2 linked regions of the Callithrix jacchus genome follow. The protein of the gene in region 1 purifies or fractionates together with the protein of each later gene. This does not show direct contact. Links are inferred from orthologs where the notes say so. Each region holds a gene or a part of one and is shown in the gene's direction. Other genes may lie near its edges.

Evidence for each region.
Region 2: the proteins of CLP1 (region 1) and TSEN15 purify together in Homo sapiens (affinity purification with mass spectrometry; 4 studies listed by BioGRID and IntAct, counting the BioPlex papers as one, with this or other methods). This does not show direct contact. The link is inferred for Callithrix jacchus from reciprocal best matches to the Homo sapiens genes CLP1 and TSEN15.

What each region holds. Positions count from the first base shown.
Region 1 is NC_133511.1:115,233,119-115,249,634, forward strand, and holds CLP1 (polyribonucleotide 5'-hydroxyl-kinase Clp1), read left to right. Parts: upstream 1-5,915; 5' UTR 5,916-6,014; intron 6,015-6,161; 5' UTR 6,162-6,267; intron 6,268-7,434; 5' UTR 7,435-7,456; coding exon 7,457-8,062; intron 8,063-8,760; coding exon 8,761-9,432; 3' UTR 9,433-9,817; downstream 9,818-16,516. UniProt on the Homo sapiens protein: Polynucleotide kinase that can phosphorylate the 5'-hydroxyl groups of double-stranded RNA (dsRNA), single-stranded RNA (ssRNA), double-stranded DNA (dsDNA) and double-stranded DNA:RNA hybrids. dsRNA is phosphorylated more efficiently than dsDNA, and the RNA component of a DNA:RNA hybrid is phosphorylated more efficiently than the DNA component.
Region 2 is NC_133519.1:42,220,773-42,237,188, forward strand, and holds the start of TSEN15 (tRNA-splicing endonuclease subunit Sen15), read left to right. Parts: upstream 1-4,191; 5' UTR 4,192-4,223; coding exon 4,224-4,358; intron 4,359-6,831; coding exon 6,832-6,913; intron 6,914-7,216; coding exon 7,217-7,352; intron 7,353-16,416. UniProt on the Homo sapiens protein: Non-catalytic subunit of the tRNA-splicing endonuclease complex, a complex responsible for identification and cleavage of the splice sites in pre-tRNA. It cleaves pre-tRNA at the 5' and 3' splice sites to release the intron.

The sequences.
Region 1 (16,516 bases):
TATATGAAGTTCTCTTCTGGGCTGTAAACTTTCTGAGACAGGTCTTCTGGGAAATCACTCTCTACATTCCAGGACTGCAATGCCTACTACAGACCCTTGCATGTACATGTTTCCAAAACAGCAGTTCTTCCCACGACATTATTTTCTGCTGGCCTAGAGGTCTTAGTTCCAGAGGGAGGAACGCTGCCACCGGGAGACACAACAACGATTCCATTAAACTGGAAGTTAGGATTGCCACTTGGATACTTTGGGCTCTTCTTACTTTAAGTCAACAGGCTAGTAAGGGAATTACAGTGTTGGTTGGGGTGACTGACCCAGACTGTCAAGATGAAATCAGTCTACTACTCCACAATGGAGGTAAGGAAGAGCATGCGTGGAATACAGGAGATCCATTAAGGTGTCTCTTAGTATTACCATGCCCTGTGAGTAAGGTCAATGGAAACTACAACAGCCCAATCCAGGCAGGACTGCAAACGACCCAGACCCTTCAGGAATGAAGGTTTGGGTCACCCCACCAGGTAAAAAACCACAACCTGCTGAGGTGCTTGCTGAAGGCAAAGGGAATACAGAATGGGTAGTAGAAGAAGGTAGTCATCAATACCAGCTACGACCATGTGACCACCTGCAGAACCGGGGACCGTAATTGTCATGAATATTTCCTTCTTGTGGTACGAACATGTTTGTGCATATATACACTTGTACTAAGAAAATATCTCCATTTTACTTTTCTTTTTTGCCTTTATCGTGATAGGACTTACTGACTTCATGTCAACATTTAAGTGTTGTTATCTCTATTTAATAGTATTTGGGTTGGGGACTGGTGTGTTTCCGGTTGTATGAAGGATAGCTGTATAATGTTAAGAGAATTATGACCTTATTATAGTCTTTATCTGAAGATTATGTACGATTTCAGGAGACGTGTATGCGTTTAAGTTGACAAGAGGTGGACTTGTGCTGGTTAATATTGTCAACTTGACTGGGTTGTGGTATTGTTCTGGGGTGTGTCTAAGAGGGTACTGCCAAAGGAGATTAACATTTGAATCAATGGACTGGGAAAGGCAGACCCATCCTCAATCTGCGCGGGCACAGTCTAATCAACTGCCAGCTTGGCCAGAATAAAAGCAGATAGAAGAACATGGAAAGTCTAGACTGGCTTAGCCTCTGAGCCTACATCTTTCTCCTGTGCTGGAGGCTTCCTGCCCTCGAACTCCAAGTGCTTGGGCTTTGGGATTCGGACTGGCTTCCTTGCTCCTCAGCTTGCAGGCAGCCTGTTGTGGAACCTCACCTTGTGATCATCTGAGTCAATATTCCTTAATAACTCCCATTTATATATACATCTATCCTATTAGCTCTGTCCCTCTGGAGAACACTGATTAATACAGCAGTTGAGTTGCATCTTCAGACAAGAACCAAGTGTCTGGCTTTGGTCTCAAAGAGACTGAATTAGGATCTTAGCTCTGCTAATTACTCAGCAGGAACCACTAGGCAAATTACTGATAATCTTTGTGCCTCAGTCTTCCTCTTCTGCTAAATGAAGCTAATAATATTTACTTCCTGGAGATGCAAACTAAAGTGAGATAACATTTAAATGCCTGAAAAGCCTCTGGCGCATGATAGGCAGTAAACAGTAGTGTCATTTCAAACAGCGTTCTAGGGTGGCTCACGCCTGTAATCCCAGCACTTTGGGAGGCTGAAGCGGGCAGATTGCCTGAGGTGAGGAGTTCAAGACCAGCCTGGCTAATATGGTGAACCCCCCCCCCCCCCACTAAAAATACAAAAATATTAGGCATGGTGGCATGTGCCTGTAATCCTAGCTACTCAGGAGGCTGGGGCAGCAGAATCACTTGAACCCAGGAGGCAGAGGTTGCAATAAAAGGAGATTCCTTCAAAACAAAAACTGGCTGGGCACGTCCTGGTTAACATGGTGAAACCCCGTCTCTACTGAAAATACAAACATCAGCTGGGTGTGGTGGCGTGCACCTGTAGTCCCAGCTGCTACTACTTGGGAGGCTGAGGCAGGAGAATCTCGTGAACCTGGAAGGCTGAGGTTGCAGTGAGCCGAGATTGCGCCACTGCACTCTAGCCAGATGACACAGCAAGACTCCATCAGAAAGAAAAGCAAATAAAGGAAAGAAAGGAAAAGAAAGAAGGAAGGAAGGAAAGAAAGAAAGAAGGAAACCAAAACAGTATTCTCAATGTATGACCCCCAAAACCCAGGGAGGATTTATTATTAAATTCTGATATCTCAAGAGACACATGCTAAATTTTTGTCTTATGAAGAAATGACATCTTTTGTTGCTACTTTTCTAGTAGCTTCCAGTTGAATTTCATTTGACTCAGAATTCATTTCTCATGGGGTGCTGTCCTGTGCATGTTACTAAAGTATGTGAACACAAAACACATCCCCTAAGACAAAATCCCTGATTTCTAACAGAGGCTAGCATTTAGCAAGTGAAATGCGACACAGATAGGGACTTGTAGAAAGCAGTGCTTGTGGGTGGTTTGTTTTTCTTCTCACATGTAAGGCAGGGAAATGTGGGTAATGGGAGACATTGCTGGTTGAGCATGAAAATAAAAAGGTATTCTAAATATTTAATCAGGGAAGATTCTGGGGTTTAAAGTAAATCTGAAAAGACAACGTGGGTATCTTGAGGGAGTACCAGGTGTGAAATTGAGAAAAAAAGCTAGGTAAAGAAAGCAGCGAGAAGTGCTCTCTTGTCTGGGCAGCAGAAGAGAAAGGAAATAAAAGTAGAAATTTGAAGAGCCATTGTTGAAGAGAACAATGAGAAGTGGGAAAAGGCAGATGATTAGTTTTCAGGGCATGGATTGAAAGTTCTTTTTCTTTTTTTGAGACGGAGTTTCACTCTTGTTACCCAGGCTGGAGTGCAATGGCGCGATCTCGGCTCACCGCAACCTCCGCCTCCTGGGTTCAGGCAGTTCTTCTGCCTCAGCCTCCTGAGTAGCTGGGATTACAGGCACGTGCCACCATGCCCGTATAATTTTTTGTATTTTTAGTAGAGACGGGGTTTTCACCATGTTGACCAGGATGGTCTCATTCTCTTGGCCTCATGATCCACCTGCCTCAGCCTCCCAAAGTGCTGGGATTACAGGCTTGAGCCACTGCGCCCAGTCCTTCTTTTTTTTCTTCTTCTTCTTGAAACGGAGTCTTCTTCTGTTGCCCAGGCTGGAGTGCAATGGAGAGATCTCAAATCACTGCAACGTCTTCCAGGTTTAAGCAAGTCTCCCACCTCAGTCTCCCAAGTAGCTGGGATTACAAGCATGCACCACCACACCCAGGTAATTTTTGTATTTTTAGTAGAGATGGGGTTTCAACATGTTGGTCAGGCCAGTCTTGAATTCCTGACTTCAAGTGACCCGCCTGCCTTGCCTTCCCCACGTGCTGGGATTATAGGCAGAGCCACAGGGCCCAGCCGGGATTGAAAGTTTGGAAGCAGGCTGGGTGCAGTTGCTCAGGCCTGTAATCCCAGAACTTTGGGAGGCTGAGGCAGGCAGATCACCTAAGGTAAAGAGTTCCAGACCAGTCCGGCTAACATGACAAAACCCCGTCTCTACTAAAATGCAAAAATTATCTGGGCCTGGTGGCAGGCACCTGTAATCCCAGCTACTCAGGAAACTGAGGCTGGAGAATTGCTTGAACCTGGGAGGTGCAGCCTGTAGTAAGCCGAAATTGAGCCACTTCACTCCAGCCTGGGCAACAAGAGCAAAACTATGTCTTAAAAAACTTTTTTTAAAAAGAAAATTTGGAAGCAAGGATACCAATGAATTTAAATCAACTCAGGAAACATGATCAAGAATCTAGCAGGAGAGGAGAATATGAACATTTTGATGACAGTATTGTTCGGGGGTGGGGCAGAAATGGCAGGAGTGCTTGCTGAAAGATTAAAAGTGAGAAAAAGAGCTGGGCGAGGAGGCTCACACCTGTAATCCCAGCACTTTGGGAGGCCAAACTGGGTGGATCACTTGAGGTCAGCCTGGCCAATATGGTGAAACCTCGTCTCTACCAAAAATACAAAAATTAGCCGGGCATGGTGATGCACACCTGTCATCCCACTACTCGGGAGGCTGAGGCAGGAGAATTGCTTAAACCCTGGAGGCAGAGGTTGCCGTGAGCCGAGATCGTGCCACAGCACTCCAGGCTGGGCCACAGAGCAAAACTCCATTTCAAACAACAACAACAAAACCTAATGCATACATGTTGAATGAATGAAATAATTAAAGCAAACCATCAGAGAAAACTCGGAAGTGACATGTGAGGATAGCACTGCTTGGGGAGTGTTGCTAAGTAGGGCCAGCAGAAGAAAATCTTCCTGGCGAACCAGAAAATCTTCCCAGTCTCCTCAATATGAATTAACTACGTGAGCCAGACTGAAAAAAGTACTCACCTGTAAAGTGGAGATGACAATTGCAGTACGTACTGCATAGGATTCTGGTGATAATTAAATGAATTTACGCCTGAAAAAGGTCTAACAATAATAAATGTGTGTGTGTTTTTGTGAAACGGAGTCTCGCTCTAGGATTGCAAGTGTGAGCCACCGCACCCAGCCTAAATGTCTACTTTTTTTTTCCTTTTTTTTTTAATGTTTACTATTATTATAACTGGACTCAGACTCAGAAACTCTGGGTTTGAGTCCTAGCTCTACTAATGACTGAATTCGTTTGGCTAATCCCTGCACCATCTTAGCCTCCTCCCCCGTCTGAAATTGTATACAAGAAAGCTGACTTTACAGGGCGGCTTTGAAAGAAGATACCTGAAAGGGTTTGAAAGACCGTAAGTATTGCACCAATGAATGGTATTATAGCCCCTTCCCCCCAGCCTATAAAAAAAAAAAAACGTAAAAGCTGAGATCAGATTTTTGCCTGTAGTTAGCACTTTACAGGCACAATCCTGCAATGGTCAAAACAACTTTAAGAGGTTGGGCACTGTTATTATTCCCACTTTGCAGACAAAAAACGGTCAGGCTTGAGCCCAGGAGGTCGAGGCTGCAGTGAGCCATGTTCGTGGCACTGTCCTCCAGCCTGGGCGAGAGACCGAGGCCCTGTCTCAAAAACAAAAAGAAAAAAATGATCTCAGTGAGATGAAGCCTGTAATTTGCTCAAAGTCACACAGTGATGTAAGCAGTATAGCAAATAATATAAAATTCCAAAGCCCAATTTAGTAAAAAGAGGATTACAGACGTGGTGGAACCTGTTGGCTGCGGAGCAAAAGACTGACCTTCTGTAACTGTCAGGGATTTATGGAGGCAAATGAGTCTCCAACAAAAATCCTCGTTTTGTGGGAGAGAGAAGATTATTGGGTAATGACTGATTTGTAGCTGGAAGAAATCATCGGATTTTTATTTTTCATTGAAGAAAAAAATGTTTAAATGCCTTCCATGTGCCAAGCACTGTGTCAGGTGGGAGATGACAGCTCCATGCAGCCTCTGTCGGGCTGTTTTCCTCCGCTTTCCCTACCCCTAGTTTTCCCCCTTCCCAAACAAGATTTTGTGGTTCGTGGCTTGTCCAGGCAAGCAGGCCGTTGGGGGCCTAGACGGTGAATCCCCCTCTCTTCCGGGCCGCTCTTCCCTTTTCTGGGCTGCAGGAGAGCAGGAACTCTGGGGCGAGATCCCGCCGCTTGACGCTCACTGCAGAAGCCGGGTCCCCGGACCTGTCTCTGCCCAACGCGGGGTCGCAACGGTCACGCCTCCTCACCCATCCCCGCCGGCTTCCTGAACAATGTCGGCCGCCGCCCCTCCCACCTTTGGCGTCACATTCAAAACAATCCTTTGACTGCAACTCCCAGAAGGCCGAGCGGCTGAGAGAGGGCACCCGCTCTCGGTTGTTCCGGAAAACTACACGTCCCAAGGGGCAGCGCGCTATCGCGTGTCCTTTCCCAGCGCGAGTGCGGAACTGCGTTTGTTTCCGGCGTGGGTACGGACAAGAACCGCTTGTAGTTTGGTTTAAGTTCTGCACGGGAGGACCTTCTGGGTTTACCTGTTGGGCTCCTGGCTGTGCAGGTGAGTTTAAAAAGGGCAGGAACGCAACTGTCGCCTTCTTGGAGTCTAAGGAGGTTTTGGTGTCTGGGGAGGTTGGGACAAATGCCGAACCTAGAGCTGCGGTCCAGGATCAGAAATAATTCGTATCATTTCCTTGTCGTTTTCTAGTTTACGAAGTGCTTTTTTTCCTCCCACAATTCCTATAAACCCCAAGAACACAGTACTTGAGGAATTGTGCTTCCAGTCGACAGCTTCAGAGGTTCAAAGAAGTTAAGTGAGTCTCTAAAGATACTACTAGTAGTTGCAGAATCGAGGCTTATGCTGTTTTCTGCGTTCAAACCTGATGTCCTCTGCTTTGCATCCGTATTGCAGACACCCTTTCCTGTTGACTAAGATGGATGGGGTGTGGGCATCTGTTATATTCTTAAGTCAGGCGTTTACCAATAGAGTGATGGAGGGGGTAAGGTCTTACATTCTGGGGTGGGGGCGGGGAAAACACAATATATAGTGAGACAGATGGTGATAAGAGATATGGAGAGAATTAAAGCAAGGTAAGGGGAAATATTCATTGCCTGGTTTGTTTGGTTTTTTGGTTTGTTTCCTTTTTTTTTTTTTTTGACACAGAGTCCCGCTCTGTTGCCCAGGCAGGAGTGCAGTGGTGAGATACCGGGTCACTACAACCCTGTAACCTCCGCCTCCTGGGTTTAAGCGATTCTCCTGCCTCAGCCTCCCAAGTAACTGGGACTACAGGTGCCTGCCACCATGGCTGGCTAACTTTTGTATTTTTTAGTAAAAACGAGATTTCGCCATGTTGGCCAAGCTGGTCTCGAACTCCTGACCCCAAGTGATCCACCCGCTTTGGCCTCCCAAAGTGCTGCGATTACAGGGGTGAGCCATTTTTTGCCAGACCTGGCCACTTTTTACCTTTTTTGTAGAGACGGGGTTTCACCATATTGCCCAGGCTGGTCTTGTACTGGTGATCTCAAGGGATCCACCCAACTCAGCCTCCCAAAGTGCTAGGATTACAGGCCTGAGACACTGTGCCCGGCCCATTGGATGATTTTTTTTTTTTTTTTTTTGAGACAGAGTCTTGCTCTGTTGCCCAGCCTGCAGTGCAGTGGAACAATCTCGGCTCACTGCAACCTCTGCCTCCTGGGTTCAAGCGATTCTTCTGCCTTGGCTTCCCAAAGAGCTGGGATTACAGGCACCCACCACCATGCCTGGCTAATTAAAAAAAAATTTTTTTTTAAATTTTTAGTAGAGACGGGGTTTCACCATGTTGGCCAGGCTAGTCTTGAACTCCCGACCTTAAGTGATCCAGCCACCTTGGCTTCCCAAAGTGCTGGGATTACAGGCATGAGCCACCACACCTGGCCACATTGGATGATTTTTAATAGAGGACTCACTTATAATTAGGTCTGATACTTAATTTGTGTTCTAGGTGCAGCAGCTACACGGAAGAGATGGGGGAAGAGGCTAATGATGACAAGAAGCCAACCACTAAATTCGAACTAGAGCGAGAAACAGAACTTCGCTTTGAGGTGGAGGCATCTCAGTCAGTTCAGTTGGAGTTGTTGACTGGCATGGCAGAGATCTTTGGCACAGAGCTGACCCGAAACAAGAAATTCACCTTTGATGCTGGTGCCAAGGTGGCTGTTTTCACTTGGCATGGCTGTTCTGTGCAACTGAGCGGCCGCACTGAGGTGGCTTATGTCTCCAAGGACACTCCTATGCTGCTTTACCTTAACACTCACACAGCCTTGGAACAGATGCGGAGGCAAGCAGAAAAGGAAGAAGAGAGAGGCCCCCGAGTGATGGTAGTGGGCCCCACTGATGTGGGCAAGTCTACAGTGTGTCGCCTTCTGCTCAACTATGCAGTGCGTTTGGGCCGCCGTCCCACTTATGTGGAGCTGGATGTGGGCCAGGGTTCCGTGTCCATCCCTGGTACCATGGGGGCCCTCTACATTGAGCGGCCTGCAGATGTGGAAGAGGGTTTCTCTATCCAGGCTCCTCTTGTGTATCATTTTGGTTCCACCACTCCTGGCACCAACATCAAGCTTTATAATAAGGTCAGAGCCAGAGAAAGGTCGGGTGGAGAGAAGGGTTGTTATCAGCGTAGGAAACTGTGGGGAAGTTTATTAGTTAAAGCTGTATTTTCTCAGCTGTTGTTTCTGCTGCATTCTTTCAGAAAAGGCAGTTCCAAATATAAGTCAGTCTCAGATTGTTAAACATTTCTGTGGATCTATTCTTTGTAATTTGTTAGATTTCCACCTAGGGTGTAAAACAGGAGGCAGAAGTAGCAACATAAAAATTAAATCCATATTATGGGGTCAAAACTACAAACATTGGAAATGTCATTTTTCAAGCTGGGTGCAGTAGCTCATGCCTGTAATCCCAGCACTTTGGGAGGCCGAGACTGGTCAATCACCTGAGGTCAGGAGTTCGAGATCAGCCTGGCCAACATGGGGAACCCTCATCTCTTACTAAAAATACAAAAATAGCTGGGCGTGGTGGCAGATGCCTGTAATCCTAGCTACGCGGGAGGCTGAGGTCAGAGAATCATTTGAACCCATGAGGCAGAGGTTGCCGTGAGCCGAGATTGTGCCACTGCACTCCAGCCTGGGCAACAGAGTGAGACTTCTTTTTAAAAAAAAAAAAAAAAAAAATCATTTTTCTTATGTCTAATAGCACTTATTCTAAAGAGGAACAAAGTAGCCATGGGTTTTTCTGGGTGTTTTTGTTCTTACCTGGATCTTCTCTTTTGCAGATTACATCTCGTTTAGCAGATGTGTTCAACCAAAGGTGTGAAGTGAACAGAAGGGCATCTGTGAGTGGCTGTGTCATTAATACCTGTGGCTGGGTCAAGGGCTCTGGTTATCAGGCTCTGGTGCATGCAGCCTCAGCTTTTGAGGTGGATGTCGTTGTGGTTCTGGATCAAGAACGACTGTACAATGAACTGAAACGGGACCTCCCCCACTTTGTACGCACCGTGCTGCTCCCTAAATCTGGGGGTGTGGTGGAACGCTCCAAGGACTTCCGGCGGGAATGTAGGGATGAGCGTATCCGTGAGTATTTTTATGGATTTCGAGGCTGTTTCTATCCCCATGCTTTCAATGTGAAATTTTCAGATGTGAAAATCTACAAAGTTGGGGCACCCACCATCCCAGACTCCTGTTTACCTTTGGGCATGTCTCAGGAGGATAATCAGCTTAAGCTAGTACCTGTCACTCCTGGCCGAGATATGGTGCACCACCTACTGAGTGTCAGCACTGCTGAGGGGACAGAGGAGAACCTGTCTGAGACAAGTGTAGCTGGCTTCATTGTGGTGACCAGTGTGGACCTGGAGCATCAGGTGTTTACTGTTCTGTCTCCAGCCCCCCGCCCACTGCCTAAGAATTTCCTTCTCATCATGGACATCCGCTTCATGGATCTAAAGTAGAGATCAGCAGGAAGCCTTGCTGCCTGGGACTTAGAGATCTGGCCATCCTAGAGGCAGATGAGCTGAGAGACTCTTTTGGGGCCACCTGACCAGTAAACTGTGGACTAGTAGAAAGTATATATTCTACCTCTAAAAACAGGTAGTGGTAACCTGACTCTTCTATTCTTGAACCAAAAGGAAAACCATGAGACTGTAATTGGTTTCTTAGCCTAAGATACCACTTTGAATTCTCCAAGACCCTGGAGAATTACATTTCTTTCACTGTGTTACTATGTGGTTTTTAAACATCACTGCTTTCTATTCCACATATGGTACTTACTCATTTATCTAAAATGAAAGTGTGAATTAGAGGGACTCTTTCCAATAAAGTTCAAACTTAGAAAAATTAATATATATTTTTGCCATATCATAGAAGTTGGTGTAATTTATTTTTTTCCCCTAAGCATTATAGAAACATTGTTGGAATGATTTATTGCTAAAATGCTTAGAGGAGGGCAAAACCAAGAAACCTACCTGTGAGCCAAGTGAGTTCTTAATGATAGTTACCCTTGCCTCTGCGCTTAGGTAAATGGTAAATCTGCTGTCAGTGCTGGATTTACTATGGGGAGTTAGAAGCTGGTGATAATCTTGGAATAAGATTTCATATCTAATTATTTTCCAGAGATAGCTCATTTCCTCTCCAGTACAGCTATCCTTCTTGTCTATTTGATTGGAACTAGGCCCTAAGTCAAGGTGTAACTTGAGCTTTCAGGTGGTAAGAAGCTGGGAAAGCCCATTCTTTTTGATCTCTTGCAAATTAGTTTGGTGTCCCTGGTTTGGACTTGAATTACTTAATAAGTATCTGATGCTGTCCATCGATTCCTTCTTTCCATAAATATTTGCTGAGGACCTACTGTTTGTCAGGAAAAACGTTTTATGGAGCTTACATTATAGAATAAATTTAAAAAGGCAAGTGCTATAGAGAGGCTTCAATTTGGGGGATTTAAGACAGAGTGAATGGAGGCTACTTTGAGTGGTTAGGAAACGCCCTTCCTGAGCACACATTTTGGGCTAAGACTTGAATGGCTGTGTGAAGTCTGGGGCAAAACCTTCCTGGTGAAAAAAACCCTAATAAAGGAACAAGCTTGATGAGTTTGGTGAAGAGAAAATCCAGTATGGTTGAAGCATAGTGAACTAAGGGAGACTAAAACAGAGGATGGAGAGGGCAGCAAGGACCGGATAATGTAGGGCTTTTGTAACTCAGGGTGAAGAATGGAATTTTTGGCCTAGGTGCAGTGGGTGGCGGCCATGCCTGTAACCCCAGCCACTCGGGAGGCCAAGAATCCCTTGAACCCGAGAGATGGAGGTTGCAGTAAGCTGAGATTGCATCACTGCACTCCATTCTAGGTGACAGAATGACACTGTGTCTCAGTCCTTTTTTTTCTGAGATGGGGGTCTCAGCCGAGTGTGGTGGCTCATGTCTGTGATCCCAGCATTTTGGGAGGCCGAGGTGGGTGGATCACTTGAGATCAGGAGTTCAAGACCAGCCTGACCAACATGGTAAAACCCCGTCTCTACTAAAAATACAAAAATTAGCTGGGTGTGGTGGTGTGCACCTGTGGTCCCAGCTACTTGGGAGGCTGAGGCACGAGAATTGCTTGAACCTGGGAGGTGGAGGTTGCAGTGAGCTGTGATCGCACCACCACATATCCAGCCTGGGTGACAGAGCAAGCCTCCATCTTAAAAAAAAAAAAAAAAAAAAAAGGCTGAGTTGGGTGGCTCATGCCTTAATCTCAGCACTTTTGGAGGCCGAGAGGGGCAGATCACTTGAGGTCAGGAGTTCAAGACCAGCATGACCAACGTGGTAAAACCCCATCTCTGCTAAAAATACAAAAATTAACCAGGTGTGGTGGCTGGCACCTTTAATCCCAGCTATTCCAGAGGCTGAGGCAGGAGAATTGCTTGAACCCAGGAGGAAGAGGTTGAAGTGATCTAGGTTGTGCCACTGCACTCCAGCCTGGGTGACAAGAATGAACCCGTTTCAACAAAAACGAACAAACATACATAAAAAGATTGTTGGTTGGTTTGTTGCTGAAAAGCAGGGCATTCCTCTCTGATTGCTTCTAAACAAACCCCAGGCAGCATTTTGTTCTTGTTTGCATGTTTATTTACTAGTGAGTTGAACTAAAAATGACACAGTGGTTTGCCATCTATAGGCGTGAGAAAATGCAAGTGAAGACAATTGGAAGAAGTGCAGATAAGCTACACTAGAAAAACTATAAAGGGCCAGGTGCAGTGGCTCATGCCTGTAATTCTAGCACTTTGGAAGACTGAGGTAGGAGGATTGCTTTAACCTAGCAGTTTGAAACCAGCCTGGGCAATATATAGTGAGACCTCAACTAAACAAAAATCTTAAAAAATTAGCAAACCATGGTGGCATATGCACCTGTAGTCCCAGCTACTCACGAAGCTGAGGTTGAGGCCATTTTTTTTTTTGGAAAGTAACTCTGGCTATTACATAATGGCCAGAGGATTGCTTGAGAATGGAAGTGGGAGGTTGCAGTCAGCTGAGATAGCTCCACTGCACTCCAGCCTGGATGACAGTGCCAGACTCTGTCTCAAAAAAGAAAAACAAAACAGGCTGGCTGTGGTGGCTTATGCTGGTATTTCCAGCATTTTGGGAGACCAAAGCAGGTGGATCATCTGAGGTCAGGAGTTTGAGACCAGCCTGGCCAACATGACAAAACCCTGTCTCTACTAAAAATACAAAAATTAGCTGTGTGTGGTGATGCGTGCCTATAATCCCAGCTACTCGGGAGGCTGAGGAAGGAGAATCACTTGAGCCCAGGTTGCAGTGAGCCAAGATCACACCACTGCACTCCAGCCTGGATGACACAGGGAGACTCTGTCACTAAAACAAAACAAAACAAAACAAACCACCAACAAAAAACAAAACAAAAAACCTCTAAGGTATTAATCGATAAACATATTAAAGTAATTTGAACTTTGGGTGGTCTGGATATCCCACTGTTTTAGCCAGATTTTACTTTGGATACTTTTCAGAAGTAGCTGGCACTTCAAACCTTATGTTCTATTAAATGTTCTTTCCAAGAAATACTTCAAGTGATCCCAAGGAAAACTGGACCAGTGGAATCTCTCTCTCCACTTCGGGATAGTGATTATACCTCTGTTAGTGTTCATCCACCTGGCAATCAAGCTAGTATCTCAGGATAGTTTGCTTGGTTGGATGGTGGAAGACTGATTTTTTTTCCCCATTTAGCACTTTAGCCAAGAGACACCATTGTTTACGAGTTATTAGACAGCTGAAAGGAAAATTAAAATGCCTAATTTGTGAAGTGGAGGAAATCAGGAAGTCCTAAAATCAAAGAAAAATATGGAACAGAAAAATGAAATCTGACTTCATCTTAAAGAAACATGATTTACAGACAGAAAATGCCAATATCAGGCTGGGCACCGTGGCTCATGCCTGTAATTCCAGCACTTTGGGAGGTCGAGGCAGGAGGATCATTTGAGATCAGGAGTTCCAGACCTCTCTGGCCAACATGGCGAAACCCCATCTCTACTAAAAATACAAAAATTAGCCAGGTGCAATGGTGCACGCCTGTGATCTCAACTACTTGGGAAGCTGAGGCATGGGAATTGCTTGAACCTGTGAGAAGGAGGTTGCCTGAGCTGAGAACCAGCTACTGCACTCCAGCATGGGTGACAGAGCAAGACTCTCTCAAAAAATAAAATCCCAATATTGTATCGTCAATAATGCCTTACATTTACCTTTCACATGGTCTAAAGAGGTGTTTTGTCTTTTTTTGATGGAGTCTTTTTCTGTTGCCCAGGCCAGAGTGCAGTGGCAAAATTTTGGCTCACTGCAACCTCTGCCTCCTGGGTTCAAGCGATTCTCCCGCCTCGCCTCCCAAGTAGCTACAATTACCGGCACCTGCCACCACGCCCCGCTAATTTTTGTATTTTTAGTAGAGATGGGGTTTCACCATGTTGGCCAAGCTGGTCTCGAACTCCTAACCTCGTGATCTGCCTGCCTCGGTCTCCCAAAGTGCTAGGATTACAGACGTTAGCCACCGCGCCTGGCCAAATCTAAAGAGTTTTAAAAATACAGAGTCGTGCCGGGCGCGCTGGCGCGTGCCTGTAGTCCCAGCTACTTGGGAGGCGGAGGTGGGAGGATCGCTTGAGCCCGGGAGTTCTGGGCTGTAGTGTGCTATGCCGATAGGGTGTCTGCACTAAGTTAGGCATCAATATGGTGACCTCTCGGGAGCCGGGGGTCGCCAGGTTGCCTAAGGGGGGGCGGAAACGGAGCAGGTCAAAACTCCCGTGCTGATCAGTAGTGGGATCGCGCCTGTGAATAGCCACTGCACTCCAGCCTGGGCAACATAGTGAGACCCTGTCTCTTTAAAACAAAAATACAAAGTCGTTATAAAGAACTCTCAAGTGTGTTGCAATAAATGCTGGATTAATGACGTTAACAAGAATAAACGCCGGACGCGGTGGCTCACACCTATAATCCCAGCACTTTGGGAGGCCGAGGCGGGTGGATCGGAAGGTCAAGAGATCGAGACCATCCTGGTCAACAAGGTGAAACCCCGTCTCTACTAAAAATACAAAAATTAGCTAGGCATGGTGGCGCGTGCCTGTAGTCCCAGCTACTCGGGAGGCTGAGGCAGGAGAATTGCTTGAACCCAGGAGGCGGAGGTTGCGGTGAGCCGAGATCATGCCATTGCAGTCCAGTCTGGGTAACAACGGCGAAACTCCACCTCAAAAACAAAAACAGAAAACAAGAATAAACTAGAACTGATAATATACGCCATGTATAGGAAGGAACTAGACTAGACTCCAGAAAACTGGCGAATTTAGTTCTCCTTTACCTTGCTGTCTAATGCTAAAGTGCCAGAACCACAGTAATGCAAGCAACATTTGAGACCAAACCCGAGAACAAGGCCCAGGATTTTACAGGTGAAGGGCTTCGGCTTCAGGGAAGTGGCTCCTTAAACACCTTTTTGAGGGGCCTTTATGTAATAGCCAGTTACTTCCCAAAAAAGAAATGGCCTCGAGCTGAATGGGGAGAGAACACGTGGCATTGCTATTGCGTTCACAGCTGTCTTGGGCTAATTAGGGCAAAGTGTAGCACAGTGACCTAAGCATTGTTAGATCGCTGGGGACAGGAGCTATTCTAGAGAACTTTTTGCTTTTAACTTTGTATTCTCGGATTGGGTGAGGTGAGGGATGCGGGCGCCCATCCCAGTTGTGGGAGTGGGAAACTAATGGAATGAAGGGAATCCACTTCCCAGCTCGCACTCCGGAGGTGGAGGGGTCGCCACCGCCTCAAGTCGCGCGTTCCTAAGGCTTCCCTCTCACGGTTAGAGCTACGGCTCTTCTTCGTGTCCCTCCCCGGCACTTGGCACGAGTCTTGCCCCACACTGGCTCTTCAAGTCCAGGCGTCCCCTTCTGTACAGCCCAGACCATTCCATCACCCTGTATTCTGCCGGGACCAGCGACCTCACCGGACTGAACATTTCTCCAGCAAAATTGTTTCAAATAAAGTTTTCGCCATTAAAAAAAAAAAAAAGGGAGGTGGGAAAAGAAGCCTAGTCACCAAACGGTTGGCCAATCCGCGAAGGGGCTGAAGCAGGAAGCGGTGAGATTCGTCGGTAATTGGCTGCGCTGGAAGCCTGTCTGGACTGTACCACCTCATGGCGAGAGGGGTTGCTGAATTCGAGAGCGTACCTGCTTGCTTTTGAGTACTTCCAGTACACACACATAATTCTTTTCTTATTTCCGAGGGTTTTTGCTTGAATCAGAAGGAATACACCAGGACACAGGAGAAGGGAAGACTCGCCTGGCCATTTCCTCATTCCTGACTCCTGCGCAGTAGGCCAATCCTCTTCTCGTCGTCTCCGCAACCCCACGGCCTTACGTGCGCGCTCTGGCCTTCTCGCGTGCGTACCACGCTGTGTCGCTGCAGCCAATCAGACCGCGAGGTCGCCGCGGTCGCCAGGGTTCGCGCGCACGCCCCAGATCGGCATGGGGGTGGGGGCTATGGGTGAATGAGAGAGTGAGCGGGGGTGGGCGCGGCGGCGCGAGCCGCATGAATGAGAGAAACGTGCGCCGCGCGAGACGTCGCGCGAGCACGGACCTGGGAGCCAATGGGAACGCTGGAAGGGTTCGAGACCCGACACTGAGGGCAACGGCCGCGCGCCGGCTCCAAGACGAGCGTCGCCTGACGGGAGCGCGCGGCAGCGGAGCGGGCGTGGAGCGTGCGGGGGCCGCGCGCTGCTTCTCAGAGGCCGGACGGCACTGCCGGGAGGTGGCGGTGACAACGACGGCTGTGGTGACGGGCACCGAGCTCTGGGGTGAGTGCCGAGGACGCCGGTCCCTGTGGAACCGGAAGTGCTGGACCAGTGAGGTGGGAGGGGAGGGTGACCTCTAGGGAAGGGGGACCGACGACGGGGAGGGGGTTAAGGCCCCATTTCTCCTCCGGGCCGAGTCTTTCAACCGCGGCGGGACCCGTTGGCCCCGGAAACGGACGACGAGTAGAGGCCGAGTATCCACGACCGCCAGGGTTCGGAATGGGTTGGAGTGGGCCACTCAGCTCCAGACCAAGGTCCTCGGCGACTGGCGCCCAGCCGCCGCCCCTTCCGCCCCCGGTCCTGCGCCCCCGGGTTCTGCGGTCCCTGCAGCCCGCTCCCTCAACCTCGGTGGGCCTGGCCGCCGTGGATTCCTTCTCGGTTTCAGCGGTCGTCAGCCCTGCCCCAACGGGTGATCTCCTTGCCTCTGCCCGGTGGTAGGGACCGGTGCTGTTTCCCTTTTACCGCTCTGCGGTTCGAGTCCCTCGCTCCACTCTGCCTATACTTATTTTGGCTCAAGCTTCATCCTGTTACCTGTTCTCTCCCACCCGTCCGCTTCCTCCTCCTACCGCCACCAGCCGAGTGCTCCATGCTTTTAGCACTTTGTACTTTTTATAAGTGGAGCTCGAATGCGTTTGCCAGTATTTTACCTGTATAAATTTCTTTTTGGGGCAGGGAGGTGGAAAGTGTTTTGCCCACTTGGCCAAATGAAACACTGAAATAAAGAAGAA
Region 2 (16,416 bases), on another chromosome or scaffold:
CCGTCTCAAAAAAAAAAAAAAAAAAATTGCTCTAGAATATATACCTGGGATTATAATTGTTGGATCATAGGATTTGTGCATCTATCCTTTGGTCTACTTTTATGCCAACTCTTGGCTTTTGTTGCTAATCTGGTGAATTAAGGTATCTTCTTACCTCAATTTGCATTTTCTTAATCAATGTGGCTGAACATCAAGTCATATTTGCTGGCCTTTTAATCTGTTTTTCTGTTTATTCTCATTTTTTTTTTAACCCGAGGAGTGGTTTTTTTTTTTAATTCCTAATTGATTTTTAGGAGCTCTTTATAGATTCTGGGTATCTTTTCTTTCAATTATGTGTTCCAGATGTCTTCCCCTCACCCCACTCTCTGTGTTGGAAATTCTTAACTGAAATACAGTTATATTGCCAAATTTTTCCCATATGGTCTGTGTTTTTTGTGTCTTGTTTAAGAAATCACTCTCTTGGGGTCATAAAATATTCTTTTATATTCTCTCCTAGAGATTTAAAAGTGTTTGCCTCCACGCCATGTAGCCAATCACACTCTCTCCTTCCCTTCTTGCATCTGCAGTGTTACTTCTGCCCACATTCGTATGAGTCTGCTTTCTGGCTCCCTACTTTGTTTCGTTGGTTTTACCTATCCATGTGCCAATGTCACATCCTTGTAATTAGATATATTTACAAGAATTTAAATTTTGTTTAAAACTTTACCTTTATAAGATATTTTATATTTCAGAATTTTAACTTCATAAGAGTTTCCTTCCTTTTGTTCATAAAAAGGGTCTTGGTTATCTTTGGTCCCTTATGCCCAAATTTCAGAATCAGCTTATCAGGTATTAAGAAAATCCTTCTTGGGATTTTAATTGGAATTGCTAGAATCTGTAAATAACTTTGGAGGAAATTGCCATCTTTATAATATTGAATTATTCTCTTTCTTGAATCTTTCTCTGTTCTTGAAACACAGAGAATGGGAAATTGTGTGTGTCGGTTACAAAAAAAAAGGAAAAAGATATATATGAGCATCCTTACAGCCAATGAATGAAAAAGCTAATCCAGAATCCTAGACAACATTTTTCAGCATGGGATCACTGTCTCATATAATAGTGTGAAAAAGCTTTTTCTTCTTTTTTTTCACACTAGAGATTCACATCACAATTTAATGTTCGCATTTCCTCTTGAGACTCTTACTGAATTAATATGTCTCTGGCTAGACATTACAGATTTTTGTAGGAATAAAATGGTCTGGCTCAGGATATCATTGGGAAATGAGGTCAGCAAGTGCCAGATTACAATGAATTTTATTAAATCCAATACACTCAGGGGATTTTATTCGTTGTTTCTTATCTAGCCTTTTTTCTCACTACTTTGGTTCTCTAAAGTGAACTATTGAAGCATTTTACAAAAGGAGAAATCCTCCAGGTTACCAGACACCGAAACTCTCCTCTGTTCTCTAGGGGATTTCACTCTAGATTGCTGCAACAGTCATTTGATTCTGCACTGTAAATACTAGGTTGTCTAAGTGTTTCCAAATCCTTTGTGTTCACTTTTAGCAATTCCCAATCACCAAGACTTCAGTTTCCATTGCTTAACAGGGAAGCTAAGAGACACTCCCTTTTCATTCTCCATCTCTTAAATAGACAAGGACATTAAAAGTCAGAAGTATGTAATATTTATGCCTGAATGTATCATGCTTTTTCTAAGCAACAGTATTTAATCTATTTGCCAAAGGATGGCATTTATCTGTTGCTTTTTTGATTTATGGTTCTTTCTTCATCCTTCTAGTTTTTCCTATCTCCAATTTCTTTTTTCTTGAACATAAGCTGAAATTCTTCTCCTGAAGATGTTTGAGGCTGGTTCACATAGTCCCTAATCCCGCTGGAAATCCTTAATGATTTATAAAATTTTTCCCCTACTCAGATTAGCAACAAAACACTCTTAATGCTTCTAAAAATGCCATCATATGAACTAATTTGGATCTTTAGGAGTCAGATTTATTCACTTCCAAGCACTATTCAAGTGTTTCAGTGATTCATGCTTCAATGGCCCTATTAATTTCAGTGCCATTTTCCTCTTTCGGGTTTTGCAGCTGCTTTGTGGAGGCAAAGGTTCATTCAAATGTAATATATTTGAGGGCAATATATGAATCTTCATGTGTGACTTTACATCTCATTCAATAATAGATGCCCTTCTTTTCCCTGTGTATGATATGTTGTTTCTTTTAATGGATTCAAGCTTTTCTCTTTATCTTTTTGACTTTCAATAGTTTGATTAAAATGTAGAATTCTTTGTGTTTATTTTAGTTGTTGTATATTTAGCATTTTGTACTGGCAAATGTCTCTCATTAAATTTGGGGAAATTTTGGCCACTCTTTCTTCAACAGTTTTTTTCTGTCCCTTGTTTTTTTCTACTTCTGTTATTTACATGCATGTTGAATCAAATCTCTGTGGATCTACTCACTTTTTAAAGATAATTTTTCTTGTTGTTGTTTACTTTTAATAATTTATATTGCTCTATTTCAAGTTCCCTACTTTTTCTTCTGTAATTTCTTTCTGGCTGTTAAATTAACCCAGTTAATTTTTTTATTTTTAAAATTATAATTTTCAATCTTCAGAATTTCTATTTGGTTTTAAAAATCTTTTTTTTTCTTTTTTTGCTGAGATTTTCTGTTTGTCTCTTGAGATTTTCATTCATTGAAAACATGTTTTACTTCATTGAAATTGTTTTAATGGTCACTTTAAAATCCTTATCTGTCAGTTTCAACTTCTGATTCATCTCAGGGTCAAACTCTAGAGTATGCAATCCATTTTCTTGAATTTCATATGTCAGATAATTTGGGATAGTATACTGGACTTTATGAGTGTTAAGTGGAGAGTGTGGATTCTATTATTTTTCTCTGATAAGTGTTATTTCCTTTGTATTCGTAGGTAATTTTTCTGGCTAGATTTTAACTGCAAACTCTCTCCCTTTGGAGACAACTCTGATCTCAGTTCAGATTTTTTGTCTTTAACTGAGCTGCTGTGATTCTGTTTTGAGTGGTTCAGGAGCTCTCAGAGATGTGGATTGACAGAGTTTGGGGATCCACTCTCTGATCCTTCCTTGGGATTTCTTAACCTCTTCGGAATTCAAACTATTCTGGCTTCACTTTTCTGCTTCCCCAGATAAGAATAACCAATAAGTTTTATATACACACACCTGCTGCTGCTGCTGCTGCTGCTGCTGCTGCTGCTGCTGCTGCTGCTGCTGCTGCTGAGCCTAACTTCTGGACTGCACTTAGCCCCAAGTTAAATGCCAGAGAGGGGAATGTTCTTGTGGAGTTCCTCATCTTTAAGCAAGCTTGCCCTTCCTACCAGTCTGCTGTTCACTCTCCAGTATATTCAGCTTTTTGTATTGTGTTCAACTTGTTTTCTGCTGGGGATGGTCCAGTAGGGTCTTAGCCTATCATGGTTGAAAGTTGAATTTCTGTCCTGCCTGGAACTTCGGATTTTGAGTCATCCTTGTCTTGGTAAATGCGATAGCCTCCTCACCAGTCCCTGTTTATGTCCTTGCTCCCTACAGTCCATCCTCAACACATCAGAGTGATCCTATGAAAACATAACAGGAGCCTCCAACAGTTTCCCATTTCGCTCACAGTAAATAAAAAATGCTTAAAATGTGCTACTCTGCCTGCCGGAAACTCCTCATCCTTGGCTTCCAGATCACATGCTTGTGCCAGTTTGTATCCTAGCTTTCTGAACACTCATTCAGCAACTCGTGTTTCCTCTAATACTGAAACATGGGTCCAGCCTGTAACTACGGTTCTACTTCAAAGATTTTTGTCAAGGCACTGAGTAAGGCTTTTCCGGTTCTCAGGAATCAGAAACCAGGACCCCACTGTTAAAGGCAAAGAGAACGTATACATCCCCCAACTTTCTCAAAGAACTATAGGCAGCACTGACTTAAAGAGGATTAAGAGCTTCCAGGCGCGGGCTACTCTTGAATATTTTTCAGGCTAGAACTTGCTCGGATTTGAATAAACGCAGAGCAAAACTAGAGACTAAACTAGAGAGCGTTCGCGCAGGTTCTTACTACCTTGGTCAGAAGGGGGGGCTGACGCAACTTTCCTCCCAGATTCAGAGCCTTCTCGTGCAACCACGGCGAGTCTCGAGGAAGCGGAACCCACAGGCGCGCGCGCAGCTGTTTCTGGCCGGGCACGGGTCGCGGTGCACCACGGGAGTGCCAAACCGGCTGCATGGAGGAGCGCGGCGATTCCGAGCCGACCCCCGGCTGCAGCGGCCTGGGTCCGGGCGGTGTTCACGGCTTTGGCGACGGCGGCGGAGCTCCCTCGTGGGCCCCCGAGGACGCCTGGATGGGCTCCCACCCTAAGGTCAGGAGGCGTGAGAGGAGCAGGACGCCGTCCGGGCCCCTAGCCCAGGCAGAACTCCCGGGCTGCCCTCTTACTTTCTCCCTCAGCGCGAGAGCTGAGGATGCGCCCCACCCTCACCGAGGTGGACCGGTGTGCACAGCTGCCAACCTCAGGCAGCATCGGTTTTGTTTGTTTAAATTAGTTGAACTATTCGTTCCGACACCTTCCCCAACCCGCCACCGAAGCCATTCTGGAACCTAGGACCAGACATTAACTCCACCCCTCTCGAGCCGGAGATTCCTAAGAAGCGTTCCATTAGTTTTGCTCTCTAGGTAAATCCCCTTTCCGGGATGAATTCATTTAATCCTCACAGTAACCATGCAAGACAGTTTGTGGCCGATGGATAAGCTCTAGGGGTCCATAATGGTAAAGATTTAGGCACAGTCATATTTACATTTAGCTTTGGGTCCAGAGTACACCTTTATTTTGCAAAGGTGCAGATTCCTAATATTTCAGATTTCTTTGAAAGTTTGAATAGGTTCTTACCCAAAGCAGAGCTACTCACATTTTACTTGTATTTTTCTACAGTAGCAGGAAGGGAGATAAAGATAGTCCCCTGCGTGCTTCTGCTTGAGACATTACTGCCTTGTCCCAGTAAGGTTCCAAGCAGTAAATAGACAAGTGAATGGAGATGTGAGTTTTGTAAAAATCTCAAAAACTGGTCTGGTCTGATACTTTATTAGAATTGTACTCTTCTCCTAGAGAGCAATAATTCATAGATAATAGTCTAAAAACGGAAAAATTTGAAGGTATATGTTTGAAAAGAGTTAACCTTTTTCAGCTTCTCTTGCTTAATTTTATGTTCCTATGCCGTCCCCTTCATTCTTCCAAAAGGTGAGAAAAAGAAACAATAGTATGGAAATACTTAGTGCCATGAAAGAGAAACAATAGCATGGAGAGACAGCATAACGGTTAGGAGCATGAACTCAAAATCAGACTCAGTTTAAATCTTGATTCTGTCACTTATCAACCTTGTGATTTGGGACAAGTTGTTTGATCCCATTATGCCTCAGTTTCCTCACCTGAAAAATGGGGATATTAATAGTCCATACTTACAGGGTTGCTACAGGATTAAATTAGTTAATATTTGTAAGCCATTCAACATATAGAAAGCACTATAAAGCACTTAATAAGTTAAACACCAGTAACAAATTTTTAAAACCTTATCTAGATTTGGTGTTGTTACTCAGTTTACATACTTGTAGAGTTTTTTCATTTTGAAGTTAATGGCTGTGTACATACACCATGACCATCAAATCTCTCCTTTTGATTTATCTTCTTGAAGGACCAAAATGATTTTTAAAAGAAAAGGAAAAGAAATAATAAAGTAATAGGGGGTGTTTGTTTTTCCAATTTCACCTTTTTGTTCATTCAAAAATTACATAGGTTCATCCAGTAAAATGGTATCAGATTTATTATCCTCAAACACACTTTTATTATTCTCTTGCTTAGAAATCCTCAGTGTTTCCTCAATGACAAAAATCACGTTTAGCTTAAGACCTTGCAGCCTGGCTCAAAATTATGTTTTGAGTGTCACTTTCCAACATGTTTGAAGTAGACAACTAATAACCCATATCCTCCTGTACCTGTGCAGTTACAGTGAAGCTGATGGGAGAATGTGACTTAGGACCTGTCCCCATGCAGGTCTGCTAGTACTTCACCTCAGCATTAGCCCCACATATCCACCTAGTCACCAGCATAGCTGGGCAGCTTCAGAATTCTGCAGGTGTAGGCCCCTGAAACACGTTTCCCTTATGCTGATCAGTTGTCTGAAAGAAGCAGCTTTCTCTAGTTTCTTGTCAATCCCCTTTTAAAAATCTAATGATTAAATAATTCCGTACTCTTAAAGTGCGAAAGAATGGGTAGAGAAGCTAGGACTGATACTGTGGCAGACTCTCTCCACAGATAAATAAGAGGCTAGGGAAATACACAGTACCTACTAATAGGTCCCAACGTAAATCTTATTAAAAAGGTTTCTATTGCTGGGAGATAGGTTTCTTTACAGTCCCTTGAATACGTGTGACTTAATCCCACCTTTGTGTGATTACCTGCACTATTACTCAACTTCTCCATTTACTCAAATGATAATGTTCTGTGCTCAACTTGTATCCTATCCTGCCTCTGCTGTAAAGCTTTCACCAGTCCCTCTGAGTAGAGCTCTTCTGACCTGTCGTGTCATGTTTCTTATTCCATTTACGTGGTTTTTAATCACGGTCATATATTGTTATTTGCCTAACAATGTTAAGTACGCATGTATTTAACAATCGCAAGTTCTTTAGAGACAGAGATAATATTTTATATTGCCTTTTAACTTCCACTATACCCAGAAGAATTTTATGGATTATATATACTTAATGACTGACTACTTGTTGATTGAAAGAAAATATTAAACAATTCTTCCTTCTCGATTTGACAATTATATTTTAATTTTCAGTATTTAGAAATGATGGAATTAGATATAGGAGATGCCACCCAAGTTTATATAGCATTCTTGGTTTACCTGGACCTCATGGAAAGTAAGTTGTTTGTTTATACTGTTTTGTTATTGGGACTGTGGTAGAGGTTTGGGGGATTGGATTGGGATATATATAGCATTCTTCACATTATAATAAGCAATCTTATATGCATTTGCTGTTAATTTTGTAATTTCTTCATTTATTTACATTGGGAATTACTGAGTAATAGAAACTACTAGAAAAGCAAAGAGAGGAGGTAGTGTTATGAGTGATATTTGCTCAGCTGAGTTTTAGGCAGAAGTTTGGAGTTTTTATCTTTTGATTTTAATAAACATTATTGTCCATTCAATGATGCTCTTTCAGGCAAAAGCTGGCATGAAGTAAACTGTGTAGGATTACCAGAACTTCAGCTCATCTGCCTTGTTGGTACTGAGATAGAAGGGGAAGGGTTACAGACTGTGGTGCCTACCCCCATCACTGCTTCCCTCAGCCATAACAGGTGAGCAGGTGATTTTGGTTTAAGTTCCTTTCCCAAGTAAAGAAGTAGGAAACATTAAAGGTAGCGATACAGTATTTTTAAAGAAGTTTGGGATACAGCAACCATAGCTTTACTCTTGGCTATTTGAGGAATAAGTTAAATATGACTGTTGTATTCAGCCGTTCTTGCATTACTATAAATATCTGAGATTTTTTTTTTTTTTTATTTCTTTAAAAAAAGGTTTATGGGACTCATAGTTCTGCGGACTTTACAGTAAGCATGCTGCTGGCATCTATGTGGCTTCTAGGGAGGCCTCAGAAAGCTTATAATCATGGCAGGGGATGAACCAAGAACAGGCACGTATATGGCAAAAGCAGGAGTGAGAGAGAATGTGTTGAGGGGGAGGTTCCACACACTTTTAAATGGCCAGATCTCACAAGAACTCATTGTCCTGAAGACAGCTCCTAGCCATGAGGGATTTACGCCCATAACCCAAATACCTCCCACCAGGCCCCACCTTCAACATTGGGGATGGCAGTTCAACATGGGATTTGGGCAGGAACAAATATACAAAGTATATCAAGGATTGAACAAGTATTTATTTAGCACTTACTCTGTGGTCAGTACTTTTTCAGAGACGGTATGTATGGTAGAAATATTAGCCTTATGGAAGTATTTATATTCTTGATAAGGAAGCAAGACCATTACATTTGAAATAATAGATATTATAAGATATACCATGTAATAGAAGTCATACTTGATATAGGAGTTGGTAAAGAGCATGATTAACATTAATTGAAATCAAAGAAAGTTTCATGTAGTTTATGGGACCTTTTTTTAAAAAGCTTAGGTACACAGCATTATATTAAACATGTCTTTGTTTCATGACGTATTCTCATTATTAGTTCATGCTTGGTTTTTATTTATTTACTTAGTTATTTTTAATAATGTTGTAAGTATCTCTGTACCCATCACCCGAAGCAAAACTAGGTTCTTGACTATAACTAACATCTAATCTTGTAAGTCCCTTAACATGTTCTCACTGACCTGAGGTAACTGTCATTCTGAATTCCATGTTTATTGGGAATTTTTAAATTTTAGATATTTTTAACTTCAATTTAAAAATCTTGTCTTTTATGACTGAACTTATACACTTAATATTATATTGCTAAAATTCATCCATTGTTGTGCCTTTTTTGGGCTGCCATATAATATTACATTGTGTGATTATACCACCATTTTCACATCCACTCCCTTGATGATGGAGTGTTGCTAATGTTTGACTTTAGGAGGTAATTTCAAACATTTTCAAATTGGTTGCCTCAATTTACTTTTCACCTGCAATGTAATCAAGACCCTTTGGAGCTGTATTGTCTCTACGTTGAGTATTGTCAGACTTTTAAATTTTGCCAACAGAATGGATTATTCTCATTGTGGTCTTAATTTGCCTTTCTCTCATCAATCATAATACTGAATATTTCTTAATATATGTATTATTTATAAGAAACATCTGTTCATTTCTTTTGCCTATTGGGTTGCCTTTAGTTTTCTCATTGACTTCTATGAATCTTTATATATTCTTGACATTAATAGTTTTTGATTGTGTTTTCCAGTTTTTAAATCTTTCACTGTCTTTAAGGTGTCTTTTAATTAATAATAGTTCTTAATTTGAATATAATTATATTTATCCATCTTTTATAATCAACATCTTTGTGTCTAGTTTAAGAAATATTTTCTATCTAAAGGTCTAAAAAATATTCACCTATATTTTCACTAAGAGTTCCATTGTTGTTGTTTTTAATGGTGTGAGAGGAGGTTAGGGATACCATTGTCATATGGATAACCACTTTTTCTACTTCCATTTACTGAATAGTCCTTCCTTTGCTCATTATCTGACATATCACTTCTGCTGTTTTCCAAAGTTCTAAACATGCATTAATTTGTCTCTGGGTTCACTGTTATATTCCATTAGTCAGTTTATCTGTCCTTTTGCCAATACCACATCTTCTTAATTGCTTGCTCCATAAGAAGTCCTTGTATCTGGTTAGCAAGCCTCCCTATGCGTTTCTTCTTTAGAAGCTGTGGCAGGCAGCTTCTAAGATGGCTTCTCATGATTCTGGTATTCGCTCCCTTGTGTAACTCTCTTCCCTTGAGTGTGGCCCAGACTCAGTGACTTCCTTCTAATGAATAAAATTTGGCAAAAATGATGGGATGTCACTTCTAAGATTAGGTTACAAAAGACTGGCTTCTGTCTTGGGCACTCTCTTGCACTTGCTATAAAGGAAGCCACCTGCCATGTGAGCTGTCCTGTAGAAAGTCCGAAAATAGAAAAAAGATGGCAGTTATTGATGGATCAAGATTCTTGAGAGATGAGGAAGGATGGATTCAAGAGGATAGTGGAAGAGAGAAATATTGAGCATGTTGAGGGGAGCCTTAACCTCCAAAAGTGGGGTATGGAAGAAATATCAAAACATAGCTGTAGTTGGGTGGCATATAAGATGATTATTAAATTCCAGCAGGAATAGTGTTGATGAATACTTACTTTTTTTCTAGTTGACTGTGACTGAATGCATAGCATTCTGGTAGAAAGAGCCCTAAACTAAAATCTTAAGACCTGTGTTCTACTCTTGGGACTGACACTTAACATTTTGTTTGATGGTTAGCAACACACCTAATTTCTCTGGGTTTCCATTTCCTTGTCTTTTTGTTGTTGTTGAGGGATTTAGATTACCAGTATATGTAAGATCCCTTCCAAATTAAAGCTACTGTAATGTAACTGATTATTTTCATTGTGCATTTTTCATAAAGCTATATTAAACTAACTTGCATATTTCTATGAAGTATTTTTTGTATTTATGATTCATAATGATAATTGTTTTTTAATATACCAGACTATTGATATGCTTCTTTGAGGAGCTCCTTACTGTGAGTTTTTGTGTGTGTGTGTTTGAGAGAGTTGTTAGAGTTGACATCAAATTTAATCACTAGTATCTTCTGGTTTTTACTAGCATGATTTCCAAGCCATCCTACATCCAAGAGTCTTAATTCATTCCTCATAGATTATTCTTTCTGTCTTTTAATTACTGTAACAAATATTGTCCTAGCTAGTATTAATGTTATATTATTTGTTTGGACAAAGAGATACTATTTGAAATTAACCTGCATTTATTCCTAAAAAATAAAATTAATGAAATGAAAGCAATAGCCTATTTTAATCAAAATCATTTCATAAGTCTAGAAGTACAAATTTGTTTCTATTGTTAATTTCTAGTATTTTCCAAGTGGTAATTAATGCTTTTCTAGCTTGAATGGCTAAAGCTTGTTTTCTTCTTTGAGCAGAATTAGTTGGAATGATAATTTGGTAAGGCATTTTGATGCTCTTACATTTCACTGAGAGAGCTTAAATCTTTTTGTCTTGTTTTTATATAAATATTCTTAACTATATTATGCAGTAGAACACTAATATAGAAAATAGCACAAATGAGGCCTGATGCATACTAGATTTATTATGCCTTTTAGGGCATACCATTTTCTCAACTCAATCTATTCAAATAACTTTTGTGTATGTATATGTGTGTATGTGTGACTTCATTACTCAGTCTTTAACAGGTACAATTTTTTAGATAGTAGGCATTCTTTTGTCTATTTTTACTTTTAGTGTACTTTATGTTATAAAATATTATATATCTAATAGTAATGCTGCAATTCCAGCCTTTCATAGTTAATGTGGGAATTTTTCTGTGTTAGTAACACAGAGAAGAAAATGATTGACTTTGAATCTTTGATATCCTTGTATTGCAAAGAAATTCACTGGAACATGTTCTAAAAGTATTTGGTGAGAAGATGTAAGGGTAACTCGCCATGAAAGAAAAAATACTTTTTATTTAAGATGAAAACAGTTTTTACTTATTCAGTGATAAAGCATCTATATAAATTAGTGATTCTGTTTTCACTTTTAAATATTATTGTCAGATAATATTGCTTGGGCTTTTTGGTCTTAACAAGTGTTTATTGAGTGACTCTCATGTGTCAGGCAATGATCTAGATGCTGGGATACCATGATGAACAAGTACTTTCATGACATCCTCAAGAAAGTAGTATTCTAGCACTGAAGATTAGCTTAGAACATACATTGTTTCTGGCTATTTTTGGATGGAATCTAAAAACACAGAATTGCCCTTTGTTCAGATATCTAATTCAGTGTGTGATTTGGGACTGCCTTCACTTATTTTGTAGCTAGATAATTGAATAACAAGGATAATGGAGTACTGATAAACACTTTAACAGGAACATATACAAAGTAACATCAAAACCCAGAGGAAGGACAGGAAAAGTCTCTTTAGCCAGTAAAAGACCATGGTTTAGTCGGGCAACTGCAGGTAATTAAGCATAACTGCCTGCCTAACATGGTGTCTCGTCAGAGTAGGTATCTAGTAATATTCCTTAAGACAGCAAATGAATAAATTAATGAGTGAAATTTCAGAGAAAAGATGGAAAGGATGGAAAATTAGATGTGAAACCTTATTTAGATTATGAAGACCATCATTGTTTTTACTTTTTTGCTATTGCTAATGGTATTCTAATGAATAGCCTTGTGAGTACCTCCTTGTACTCATATATGAGAGTTTCCCTAAGGAAGATGCCTAGAGGTAGAATAGCTGGGACTTTTTTTTTGGAGACAGAGTCTGGCTCTGTCACCCAGGCAGTAGTGCACTGGCATGGTCTTGGCACACTGCAACCTCTGCCTCCCAGGTTCAAGCAATTCCCCTGCTTCAGCCTCCTAAGTAGCTGGGATTACAGGCATGCACCACCACACCCAGCTAATTTTTTGTATTGTAGTAGAAACGGGGTTTTACCATGTTGGCCAGCCTGGTCTTGAACTCTTGACCTCAAGTGGTCTGACTGCCTTGGTCTCCCAAAATGCTGGGATTACAGGTGTGAGCCAATCCACCTGGCATGTCACTTCATCTTCACTGGTTATTGCTAAATTGTTTCCAAAAGGATTATTACCAGTTTACATTCACACTTACAATGTGTAAGTTTTCACATACTGGGAGAAGATTTATAGCATGTGCATAACTGACAGAGATTAATTTAGAATATATAAATAGCTTCTGGGACTTCAAAACAATTCCCGATGGGAAACCTGGGCAAAGAATATGAACAGGCAACTCACAGAAGAGGAACTCAGATGCTCAAATCTGTTTGTAAATCAAGGAATTATAAATATGTGTGTTTGTCTGGTTTGTCTTAACTTTGAAGAAAATTTTCAGATAGTTTGTTTTTATTGTTTGACAAAAACAAGATACTGTTTAATAGGGAACTTTTGAACAGAGCTACAGCTAGCACTTAGAGTATCTTTGAACAATTTAGAAAAAGGAGCTCTCTCTTGACGTACAAAGAAAAAATGTCTCTTCAGTAAGGTTCAAGGCTTGGCAAACAGTGAAGGGCAGATTTTAGATCCACTTGTGCCAGGTACCCTTGCACAGAGCACAATCTACATATCTGTACATGATGCCCTGCACCTGAAGCATGTCTCTGGAGCCTTAGGTTTCCACAAAGAACATTGTGAAAATTACTACTAAATGCATGATGTCATTGAAGGGCTTTAAGCAAGGAAGTGAGACTATTATTGTTTATTCTATGTGGTTTTAAGAGTACTTTGCATTTGCAGAGAATGTTATAGAGTTTCAAAGTATTTTAAAATATTCAAAATACTTTAACAAGTAGACTTTCATTAAGTCAGCACCAAAGTCCCTAGTGGTATATAGGGTATTTGTTTTCTCCTAACTTTACATACGAAAAGCTGAGGTTAAAAGTATATTTTTACTTGTACCCCCACTTTTTCCAAAAGATAATAAAAGATCAATTGAGCTGTACCAAGATCTCAATTAGTCTCATAGCTATTGGAATTTCTTTTGCTTTATTGGTTTTTAAAAATATTTTATTGTAAATGAAACCAGATACAGAAAACCACACAATACCAATATATAGATTAATGAGTTATCATAAGGCAAACATCTAGAACTCTTACAATTATAACCAAGTTAAGAAATAGAACTTTTCCAGGCATCCCACTAACTTTTCAACGTGCCCCATCCCAATCATAATCTTTCTTCCCCAAAAAAGTAGCCATTATTTTTTCTTTCATAATAATAATGGGCTTTGGCCCATGTATTGTTCCCAGGACCTCTTAGCTCTAACTTTGTCTTTTGACTCTCAGTCAAGAAAGAATGTTGGAATGTCAGCCATGAGACTGATAATATATTATCAGGAATATTAGTTTTATATTTAAAAATACCCTGCCAACTTTAGTACTCTATTGTTAGAAATAAATTACTTGCCACATACTGTACAATCAACCTTAGCACACCAGTTGTAAATCAACATTTTAGACTATGTTGCTTAGCTGCTTGAATATAGTGCTTTAAAAAATACTTTGTATTCCTCTAAAAACCTTAAATAACATTTTTATTAGTAGGAGAGTTGGGTAGCATACATAGCTGTAGAGTGAGGAGTTGGTAGTTTGCTGGAGCTACAGTTTCTTCTTATTTACAAAGAGCCTATAGCACATAAGGCCTGATAACTGTCTCTTTTGTTGAAGGAAACAGTTTTTATAATCTGTTGTTTGTAAAACTGAACCAAACTCTGTCAATTACATAGTTAACAACTTAGTTATAAAATATTTCCCTAGTGATGACAAACAATCTCACTGTTTCAGTGCCAATTGACTGTTAAGTGGCAGAGTGGCATATATATTTATATAGTTTATTCTATTATTTACTTTATGGTGTATATGTATTTTCTGCCTCCTTAAAAGGCAATCATTCTAGGCACTGTTTAATGTTATATCTGTGTGCTTTTCTAAGAAGGCCTGAACAGTTTTTAATATCTGCTTCCCACTTACTTTCCCAGGCTTTAGACCTGGTGATTTTGTTTACATACTTTGTGACAAGAGTGTAGACAGATCCCATTACAGGGTAAATGTGTATTTGAATGACTGTGAGTGAATGCATTACTTTGAGCACAAGTGCAGGTTGTGATTAGCGTTTTCTGTAAAGCTGTTACATATAATATGTGATCACAGCTAAAACACTTTGTCACATTTTTCAAGTTTCAGAAGGTCTTGTGTATACTAGTCCTTATGAAAATATTGATTTAATGTTATTTCCTTATCTGTGATGGGAGAATAAAATTGGTAAAGTGCCCATTTCTGATTATTTTTTCTGATTATTTGGTAGGAAAATTATGCTGATGGAGTATGAAGTGATTAATTGCTAGTATTTCTTGTTTGATCTAAAAATACTTCCTAAAGCTAGCGTAAATAATTTTTAGTTTGCATTATAATGCTATATAAAGTTGTGTATCCATACAACTTAAGCGTGGTATCCATATGGAGAGTATTCTAGATTGTTTCTTTGCTAAAGTGAATTTAAGGAATCCGTGTAGCACCTTCAGTAAATGACTATAGAGGTACGGTTTCCTCAGACACAGCAATGGTATAAAATCATATTCATAGATACACAGAGATCAAAGAGATCTGATGAATTTAAAGATTAGGCAACAAGAGGAGTACTAATTAAAACTAGTGACCTATTTTTTCTTTCTGAGATGGAATCTTGCTCTGATGTTTTTCAGTGCTAAGATTGCAAATGAAGTCAAATTTATGTTCAGATAGTTTGATTAACTTCACTTTGGACCACCTTGGGTCTATTGGTGTTTGTTGAGTGCCTTAAATGGTAGAAGTATACCATACCAAAGTTAGGATAATAGTATTACAATTTTCTGTAATAGTAGCAGTACTATAGATTGTTGCAAATGGGAAAATATCTTAAGGAACATATATAGGGACTTAAATCATAAGGGAAAAAATGGTTTCCTAGTGTTTTAACTACTGGTAGAGGTTTCTTTTTTCCCTCATAGACCCTATGTCATCTCCCAATTCCAATGTAAATTTTATTTCTTCAGTAAGATACAAGAGGTGGGAAAACCTCAAGAGGTGGGAAAACCTAAGTTGACATATTTTAAGCTCATCTGTGGTTATAATAAGTTTTTTAAAAAAGCTGAGCAAAGTGAAATGTCTTATATATACAATTATAAAATCAGTTAAGATACTGCTTTCTAAAACTATTAATCTTCCTTTTTTTTAAACAAAGGATTGTAGTTCCTTCCTTAGTAATACATTAATCATTCATCCTTTCAAATCTGACTAAATTATAAATGGTTCTCTCCTCTCAGTGTCAGAGAAGAATAGTGGGTAGGAGAATGGAGCCTCTCCAATGACCATTTTAGCCCCCTAGGAGCACAAAATGGTCCCTTAACTAAAAATGTTATAAATGCATGTAATTATACTTTTTATTTAAATATATTGAATATAAATATAATTACATACTATCTAGAGGCAAAATTTGGTTTTAGGATAGAATAAAAAGGTAAATTGCAAATTATTCCAGTGTTTTCTAAATTGCTTATTTATTTATTGCCTGCCTAGGCTCAAGGGGTACAAAATATCATAGACTTTGCCTACAAGGTGCTCAAGTCTAGAGCTGTGATGGACAGACATTTACATCCAGTGTGATAAACATAATAACATATATGTACGGGGTCCTGAGGAAGACCATAGAGGGAAGAGACTGGTGGGATAAAGAGAAAGTCTGGGAAAACTGACTGCAGGGCATGTTTGAAATATGCATAGGCACTTAATATGGATCAGGGATGGGAATGGACGTCCTGGTCAAAGTAATAACATGAACAAGGTATTGAGGGCTGAGAGAACCTGAAATTTACCAGTAGTTCATTATGACTGGGTATGTAGTAATGGCAGAGAGAGTACTTGCCTGCAGTTGGTGAGAAAGCCCTGGATTGGTGTCAGGTGGGTGGGGAAGGAGTGAGTATGTGTGATACAAGAGAGATGAGAATGGAGGAAAAAGGAGGGGAGGGGAGGAGAGACAGACATAGAAAAAATATGAAACAAACAAACAAACAAAAAAGCTCTCCTCCTGGGAAGTAACAGCTCAGGAGAAGCAACCTCTTAAGGATTAAGGAAGTCAAAGGTAAGAGAAAGTTAGATCAAGAGTTTTGTCAC